Canis lupus familiaris: one gene and its partner. The protein of the gene in region 1 purifies or fractionates together with the protein of each later gene. This does not show direct contact. Links are inferred from orthologs where the notes say so. Each region holds a gene or a part of one and is shown in the gene's direction. Other genes may lie near its edges. The genes, in order: CDC25C and SUFU.

The links.
Region 2: the proteins of CDC25C (region 1) and SUFU purify together in Homo sapiens (affinity purification with mass spectrometry; 4 studies listed by BioGRID and IntAct, counting the BioPlex papers as one, with this or other methods). This does not show direct contact. The link is inferred for Canis lupus familiaris from reciprocal best matches to the Homo sapiens genes CDC25C and SUFU.

What each region holds. Positions count from the first base shown.
Region 1 is NC_049232.1:25,988,594-25,992,998, reverse strand, and holds the start of CDC25C (M-phase inducer phosphatase 3), read left to right. Parts: upstream 1-1,367; 5' UTR 1,368-1,385; intron 1,386-1,859; exon of another isoform or gene 1,860-2,096; 5' UTR 2,097-2,211; intron 2,212-2,314; exon of another isoform or gene 2,315-2,636; intron 2,637-3,083; exon of another isoform or gene 3,084-3,162; coding exon of another isoform or gene 3,163-3,291; intron 3,292-3,517; 5' UTR 3,518-3,599; intron 3,600-4,056; coding exon of another isoform or gene 4,057-4,177; intron 4,178-4,320; coding exon of another isoform or gene 4,321-4,405. Other genes in the region: SLBP2 (uncharacterized LOC474694), read right to left, coding at 3,163-3,291, 4,057-4,177, 4,321-4,405. UniProt on the Homo sapiens protein: Functions as a dosage-dependent inducer in mitotic control. Tyrosine protein phosphatase required for progression of the cell cycle. When phosphorylated, highly effective in activating G2 cells into prophase.
Region 2 is NC_049249.1:15,182,188-15,186,782, forward strand, and holds the start of SUFU (suppressor of fused homolog), read left to right. Parts: upstream 1-1,518; 5' UTR 1,519-1,699; coding exon 1,700-1,881; intron 1,882-4,595. UniProt on the Homo sapiens protein: Negative regulator in the hedgehog/smoothened signaling pathway. Down-regulates GLI1-mediated transactivation of target genes. Down-regulates GLI2-mediated transactivation of target genes. Part of a corepressor complex that acts on DNA-bound GLI1.

The sequences.
Region 1 (4,405 bases):
ACAATATAATGTGAAATATCAAAGTGTAAAAAGCATACCATCTAACCTGCACAAATCAGGAGTCCACATAGACTGTTTCTCAAACTCTCCTGTTTGTTGCTCTACACAGCCTAAGAATGCCACATGTGATAATATCATTAATCTGAAGAGGACAATTGGGTTTATCTATTTGGCTGGATGCCAACCTCCCTCACCTGAACACCCAGGGAAGCCCCAAACAGCTCTTCTGTGACCTTGGAGGTAGAGTACTTTCTACTTTTGCAAAAAGAGGGAATCATCTCTACCCCGTTCCACCTTGGAGAGAAGTAAGTAAAGAAAAGCAAAGAACTACGTGTTGATGTATCTGCAGTTTTTTGGAAGCTGTGGGAGAAATCAACCATCATTACAGTTAACTATCATTTTCATGCATAATTATTATTACCACCCTCAAAGAAGTTCTAGCTTCCTGAGAGCTCCCTTCAGCGGCTTCCCCTATGATCTTGTGGGAAAAGCTAAAGCTTATATCACATTGCTCTTGGTTTCTTAACTCTGCCCCCAAAAGATCAACTAGAGAGGGACCCTAACTGCAGGCTTTTACCCCAGAGATCCCAGGCCTCAGGCTCACCAGCCATGAAGAGCAGGGAGTGAAGCAAAGTCTTTCAAGCTTTTCATGAGGCATTTGGCCAAACAGCAAACTCCCAGCCCTCTCTGGGATCAAGTGAAGAGAGTGATTTTGTGTTTTTCTGCATTTTAATTGTTGGGATGTGGCCACACACGGCGGTAATTGGAACAATGCAACTACCACCACGCAACTGATACTCTCAGCCTGAGTTTCCTAAAACAGGCCAGGCTGAGAGGGGGAACAGAACGGAAGCCATAAGGAATCAAACCAGGACACAAAAGAAGGCAAACCAGCTCCGCGAGGGGCCTCCTCTTTCTCAGGCAGGCATAGAAAAAAGTGTAAGAAACCCTCTCTTGCCGCCTTCCTTCCCCTTCCATTTTGTGTATCTGAGGGGCAGAGACAGCCCTGAATGTTCACTAAACAAGTTAAAACTTCTCAGCTTAACAACTGGCACAGGGCTCAGCCCTTCACAGAGCAGCAGGCCGCTAGGCCCTCCCTACGACCCCACCAGGCCCAACTCTCAATCCAGGCTTTCCCTCCACCAACAGCCCCCTAAAATAAAGACTGGACCCCCACCCCATCTACTATTGGATGGTAGTAACCCCTGACGTTGGGGTTTCAGGGATGCTAAGGTTGTGCTGAAACCTGGAGAACCCAGGATCAAATCAAGCCAAGAGGGAGGAGAGTCACAAATCCCCTGGGGACCCTCCCCCCAGGTCCCAGCCCCACACCTCTGGGGGACACTAAAGAAAAACATGAGGGAGGCAGGGAGGTACATGAACAGGTAAGTGGGGAACTGACTGCTCTTCCTCCATATGGCTCTGGCGGGGATAGGGGTGACAAGTGGGGAGCACCCCTCCCCCCACCCCGATGAAGAAGCAAAAGGCTAGGCCCCCCTCCAGTCTTCAACCTCTCCCTCGGTTGCCCTGCCTGTCCCCGCGGGGTGGGGCATGGGGCGTCCGCTAGCCCCTAGGGGGGCACCAGGGCTCGCTCAGGGGGGCTGTCTTTCGCCTCTTCCCAATCAGCTTCCATCATCTGGCCGCGGGAAGCGAACTCAGGACGCAGGAGATGGAAAGGGTCTGGGACTTAGCACTCCACCAACCCCTCCCCCACCGGGTCCCGTGCTCTCCCCGTGGAGGCGTCCAGAGAGGCCGTGCCGCGCGCGCCGCCGGGCTGGGGGAAGGGAAAGAGGGAAGGAGGGAGGGACAGTCGAGGTGCCCGCCCCGAGGCCCCAGCGCCACCTGCCCTCGCCACCTACCGCGGCTCCTCCAGCTCCCTGGGCCGCGGCCGGAGCAGCTCTGAGCGCTCCGTTCGCCCCACGGTGCCCTTAAAAGGCGCCGGCGCGAACCAACGGGCCCCGAAGGAGAGTGGGGGAATCGCTCTGGTTCGCAGAATCGCCCTGAACCGCCCGGGGAGGCTCGAACCCCGCGTCGCTTCTCTCCCAAAATCTTTTTTGGAAAGTGCTGTCGGGAATGAGCCAAGCTCTTTGATTTAGGGATGAAGGTGGCTTCTTCACTATCGAGTCACCCCCTCCAAAATATTGCTGAAGGTGGACGGACCCAGTTGGCGGCACAGCTCCAAACCCGCGGGGGAGACCGTGTCGGACGAAGGTAAACAAAGCGATTCTCCTCGCCCTCCATTCCAACATTGGCCCTAGTACGGCCCCCTACCCGGTTCGGGCCGCGTAACAGAAATAGCCAGAGTTGCTCTTACCTGCTCTCTCCTCCCGCCCTCTACGGGCACCTCTCAGAAGGAATCCCCCTTCCGCCAGCAGAGGACCGGCCCGCGGCGTGAAGACTTCTGGGAAATGTAGTCCAAGAGCCGATCAGGGCCTGCTCTGAGTCCCGGGAGCCCCTCTTCCAGCTGCCGGATACCCTCCAACCTTATAAACCCAGGACTTGTAACGGTTGCGGGGCCGTTCCCAATTGATTCTGTAATTAGCCCTCACCCAAAACACTTTGTAAAGCTGAAAAGGGCCCAGGGCTGCTCACTCCTCCTCCTTCCTCTACGCACCCCCACCCCCCAGCAGGATGAGGTAATGGGGTTGTGATTATGACATCATAGGCGGTTCAGTTGCTTGCGGGGGTGGGCGGGGGAGGGGGGGGAGTATGGTGGTTACAGCTGGACCACTTTCCTTAAGACAGAAAGGGAGGGAGGAAGGAAACAGGCAGCTGGGTAAAAGATGTTGATAGCTTTGTATTTCCTCTTCAGGAAGAGGATGCCACCCTTTATTAAATTTCCACCACTACCATCACCTCCCACCTCAGCCAAAGTTTAAGTCTTTTTTGAGAAGCCTGAATGTAGACGTTAGTAGGGAGGAGGTTGGGGAACAGCAAAATGGTTACTGGCTCTTATGTAAATTTGAGGCTCAGCTATCAAAGAAGGTTTAGAAAAGCAGGCAGAAATGGAAAAAGAAGTTTTAAACAATGCTTTCGTGTTGTGATCTCTTTGTAGGGCAGTTTTAGATTTTTTTTTTTTTAATCCATTGGGAAGTAGCAGTAATGCAGGTAATCTTTACTGTTACACTTAGCAACACGTCCCTTGAAAGACATATGCTTTCTCTAAATATTTTGTGCCTCATTCAAATCTGGGACAGGTATGTAACTGTGATCAGCTAGAAAGTAGAACCAGTGGTGTTCTTCCTCATAGAGCCAGGGAAAGGAGTAGGCAGGAGGTACCAAGTCTGCAAACTGAAAAAGAAGAGTAGAGGCAGAGTGAGCTACTTATGAAGAAAATGGGGGTGGAAGGAAGATGCACTGCACATTTCCTTTCCTTGCACATTTCTCCTTGGCAAAAGAGGGGACAGGGGCCATGAAGTGGGGAGACCTAGTTTCCAATAATTGCTGTTGTGGAGCACTTATTATGTGCCAGGCACCGTGCTACATACTTTAATATGTATTCTTATTTTTTGCTTAGAATCATCAAATGAGACAAATCTCCCTATTTGACAGTTGAAATGGTTGGAGAGATGAAGTGATTGTCCATGTGGTGGACAAAGGTAATATTATAAAGCAGTCCTGAGGCTCTAAAGCCCTTGGTCTTCATTCCACTTGGTAATCCTTGTTTTTATTATCAACCATACTTTATTAAAGTTCAGTGACTGAGAATAAGAAGTAAAGTTAGCATTGGCTCATTTGCAAAATATTGAAATAAAAGGAGACATTAAAAAAGCCATATCAGGTTTCAAGGCCTCAATTCCAAGAAATATTGTACTCCTTTCATCAAGTATAAAATAACCCCCAATGCAGCCCAATTTCCCACCATTGTTAACTACAATTAAATGTCCTTATGCCACCTTTTTCTTAGATATTTTAATTCATGTCCTATTTTTTCTTGCTGCCCAATTTTTCTTCTTTTGTTTTTCGACTACTACCTTGAATCCCATCCTAATTGTTACCTTGTGGGCCAGACCCTACTCTAACCCTGCTCCAATGGGTTTTAGAAAAGGATACTACCTGGGCTCCCTTCTGGTCTTCATTCAGATTCACTGATGGTTCCAGGGCCTGGAACCAGTCATCCAGGAGGTCATCCGTAGGTGTGGAACCCATTGGCTCTAAGAGATGCTCCATTCCCTGGCTGGGAAAGTGGCAGAGTCAGAGGAATATGCACCTCTTTCAGACTATCCCTTTTCAGCCAGAAAAAGCTAAACCTCTGCAAAGTGAGGAGAGGTAGGGCTCAGTCCACCACTCCTAACAAGGAACCAAGAATAATACACACACCCCTCGGACCTCCTGCCTTTCGGGGGCTGGCTGGGGGGATCCCAGGAATGCAGGGCTCTTCTCCACTGCCTGATCTGGGCATCCC
Region 2 (4,595 bases), on another chromosome or scaffold:
TACTTAAAATAACAAAAAATTCTCCCAGTTACAGAAAGCCAATGGTAATGGGAAAGAGCAGGTCTATAGTAGATAATGAATATTGATGTTCCTTAAGGCAATCTGCATAAAACAGAACAAAGAAGAGATTGTCATCACTAAAAGCATTTATTTTAAAAATTACCAAGTCTTGGGGTGCCTGGGTGACTCAGTAGGTTAAGTGTCTGCCTTGAGCTCTGGTCATGATCTCTGGATCCTGGGATCCAGCAGTAGGGAGTCTGCTTCTTCCTCTCCCTCTGCCTCTCTCCCCCACTGTTCTCTCTCTCTTTCAAATAAATAAAATCTTAAAAAAAATAAAGACAAAAAATTACCAAGTTTTAAAAACTAGTCTTAGTTTACCTAACTCTTCCTACTTTTTAATTTTTTTTAAAGATTCTATTTATTTATTCATAGAGACACAGAGTGAGAGAGAGAGAGAGAGAGAGAGAGAGAGAGGCAGAGGGAGAAGCAGGCTCCACGCAGGGAGCCCGACATGGGACTCGATCCAGGGTCTCCAGGATCACGCCCTGGGCTGCAGACGGCGCTAAACCGCTGCACCACCGGGGCTGCCCTTGCTACTTTAAAAAAAAAAAAAGATTTTATTTATTCAAGAGAGACACACAGAGAGAGAGGCAGAGACATAGGTAGAGAGAGAGAAGCTGACTGCCTACAGGGAGCCCAATGTGGGACTCTATCCCAGAACTCTGGGACCATTCCCCGAGTCAAAGGCAGACGTTCAATCACTAAGCCACTCAGGCGTCCCTAACTCCTGCTACTTTTTTTTTTTCTTGCTACTTTTTTTTTAATTTTTTTAAATTTTTATTTATTTATGATAGTCATAGAGAGAGAGAGAGAGAGAGAGAGAGGCAGAGACACAGGCAGAGGGAGAAGCAGACTCCATGCACCGGGAGCCTGACGTGGGATTCGATCCCGGGTCTCCAGGATCGCGCCCTGGGCCAAAGGCAGGCGCTAAACCACTGCGCCACCCAGGGATCCCTCTTGCTACTTTTTAACAAGACTCCAAAGTAAATATTTCAACATACAACCCCTGAATTTGGCGGGGTTAGTGTCAGTAAATATGGTAAATGGACATTCAAAGATGGTAGGAAATATTCAGATTTATAATCTATTACAACTAAAGCCACGCTAAATGGACGAATGAATCAATCCACTATTGTCAAATTTGTGCTTAAATTCTTGTTAGCAGGGTGTCAGCACAATAGCGACAAGTCGTTCGTCAGCGAGCTTCCCACAGCTTTCCTGGGACCCTAGCACCTGAGGATGCCTCAACATTTCTATTTAAATCTGGGTTCCTCCTAACACTAGGGGGAGGCCAAGAGCCTTGGGACCCCCCCCACACACGGAGAGGGAGGCGGGACCTATTGCCAAGTCACGCCTTCCCCATCTGTGACTGGCACAGACACTAGCCAATGGATACCGGGATAGGGCGCGCCGGCGCCCCGCCCCCCCGAGCGCTCCGCGGCCCCCGAGGCACCCTCCGGCCGTCTCTGCGGCGGCTACGGCCTGGGCAGACGGTGCGCCGTGCGCAGGCGCGGAGCCTAGACCTCGCTGCAGCCCCCATCGCCTGGGGGAGTCGCACCCACGGAGTCCGCCTGCTGGCGCGTCAGAGCTCTCCCCCTCGTCCACCCTCCCCGGTCCCCCCAGCGCCCTACGCGCCCGGATGGCGGAGCTGCGGCCTAGCGGCGCCCCCGGCCCCGCCGCGCCCCCGGCCCCTGGCCCTAGTGCACCCCCGGCCTTCGCCTCGCTCTTCCCCCCGGGACTGCACGCCATCTACGGAGAGTGCCGTCGCCTTTACCCTGACCAGCCGAACCCGCTCCAGGTTACCGCTATCGTCAAGTACTGGTATGCCCTGGGCCGCGGGGAGACGGACGACGGCGGGCAGGGAAGGGTTAGAACGCCCGGGGCGAAGTCATCTGCGGGGGAGGAGGAGGTGGAGAAGAATGGTTAAAGCACTTGGAAAGAGGGCGTCCTGCTGCGAGGCAAGGAGTTAAGGCTGAAGTTGGGAACGGGGACAAAGGGGTTAACGGAGCCTCTGGGTAGAGGAGGGTTAACGAGGGGGGAGGATGAAGGGTTAACTGGGATTAGGAGAATAGAATGAATTGGGGGTGTGTGTGTAGGAGCGGGGGGGGGGGCCGATAGGAGAAAGGGAACTGTAAACGTGGTGAAAGGAGGGGGCGCCTGTAGGGGGTCATTAGTGGGCTAAGGGAAGCCGGGGGCGGGGGTGGGGGAAGAAGGGCGGCTGAAGTGGGATGGGGGAGGCGAGGCGGGGCCTGGGGAGCACAAGAGAGGGCTTTGGAGGAGTGCGGCTGGCGAGCTCAGAGGGCTTGAGACTGCACAGGGTACGGTGGATTTGGGGATCCCCGCTCTCCCATAGGTTAGGAGGGAGGCAAGTTGCGAGAGTCGTGCTTGTGAAGAGAGGAAGAGGAGGTCTCCTTTTAAGATACCTTCCCCATGAGCTCAGACGTCAGTCATATCGGTGCAGTGCTTTTGCGTTTGAAGTTTCACGGAGCAACTTTTCTTGATAAACTTTCTGCTTACTCGGCACAGTTCTCTTTCTCCAAGCAGAGCTTCCTTTGGCTCTGCACCCGCTTTGCCTAGGACATTGGCTAGAACAGAGGCACGGTCAGGGAGATAGATCCATGGTTTGGCTCAGGATTGCCGGGGACCCCAGTAAATGATGAAGACCTGAGACACGGAGCAAAGAAGTGCAGCCAGATGTTTAGAGGGGCTTCCTGGCCCCAAGCTTCAGGATTTAGACCACAGTCTCTCAGGGAAGCTGAGAGTAACCCTCAAGTGGCTCTGTTCAGGATCATAGAAGGCCTGCCCTTGGGGTAGGAATGGTCCTTTCTTGTTTCCCATTCCTGTTTGCAACCTATCTCTTTTCACAGCCACTGGGCAAAACAGGTGTTAGAGGGACTCTGACAAAGAGCCTGTCTTCATGGTCTTTCTGGACCATATTGACTGAGGAATTGGTAGAATTTGTCCAGAACTGCATTCATGCAGGCACTGTATTAAATAATCCCCTTCACTGAGTCCTGAAAGACTGTTCAGAAAAAAGCTTGGGATGTGCCAAGGGGGCAGGTAGACCCAAAGGGGGAGGTTGAGAGAGTGGATGTCTTTGCTGGTTACCTCTTCTTTTAGGATGGAAGCTTCTCCAGGATAACCTCTTAACTTCCTCTGGAGATGGCAGAAACTAGACTGTCTGGGGCTGAGGCCAGTTGCCTGTGTCAGTGGGACAATATGAAGAGACAGGGCCTGGGGACCAGCCACCTCCTATGAGAGGGTCATGTCTGGTAGCCAGAGGAGATGTGGCCAGTGGTACAGTTCTCTCTTCAGCAGGCAAACTGTTCTTTGGTTGAGAGGAGTTTTTGAAGAGAGCTTCTGAGTGAAAAGCAGCTCTTGATAACTTAATCACCCATTCTCATTTCTTGCCTATATTTAAGTATGTGTTGTGATGAACTGTATTGGATTGTGTCATGGGGAAAGAGGGCCTGGTTCTGCGATGCTGTTGGTTCAGGTCTCATTTGAATGAACAGAGAAATCCCTACACAGACTTAGGCAACTGTTTTTATGTCACCCAGTTGGCCATGAAGGATAGAATTGTGTGCAGAAGATATTAAAGCACATGCAAAGGACTAAGACTGATTTGGGCAAGCTTGTTAACCAGGCAGGACTTATCTTCAGAAATGGGCCAACATGTAATGACTAATAAAGAGTACTTTGTGAGATTAGAAATGCTGGCCAGATGCAGAAAAATATAAGAAGGAGCAGCTGAGCAACTAGTTCTTTCTAAGATTTGGAAGGGTTTGCATAATTAAGATTCTGAAATTAATTCATTAATATACATCACACTTGGGATGCCACAAGGCCTCGTTAGCAGTTTGACTGACCAAGGCTACCTGGGTCTGGCTGTGGCCCACGGTCCCTTGAGATTCCTTTTCTTGTGACAGAAGGTTGGTTCTTTGGCTAGTGGACCTTGGCCGGCAGGGACATCCTGGCTGAAAGCTGATACTTTAGTGGGCAGGGAACAGAAACACAGAGGCAGAGCTTGTACCCAGGAGCCACTGCAGTCCTACAGCTGTCATGTGGAATGAAGTTAGGTGTTCAAGGAAGTAAGTTCAAGGAAGAGCATCAAGGGATACTCTGGGTCCTTGGATAACATATTTTTCTAAGTGCAAGATATGATTATTTTCTACATAATCATCTGTTTCCCATCAGGTGTCTGAGTAAGTAGAACAGAACACTGTGCTTGGGGACAAGGTTAATTTTGTCTGACTCTTGGTTATTCCTTACAGTTATAGTTTTAAGATAAAGCCTCGATCCTTGATGCAGTATCTCCTGAGAGAGGGCTGCAGAGGTGTGACAGATGGAGTATGGAAGTGTGGATACAGTTTTGCCACTTGTTGCTGGATGCACTTAGGCTGAAAGGGGCAAGACTGGGAATTTGCAGCAGGAAACTGGAGCAGATCTGGAGTTTGTAGTCACTCCCATCTGTTCTGGGCTTCTGCAGCTATCATGTGGTTCTTCCAGAGATAGCTACCCCTATGTTTCCTCCT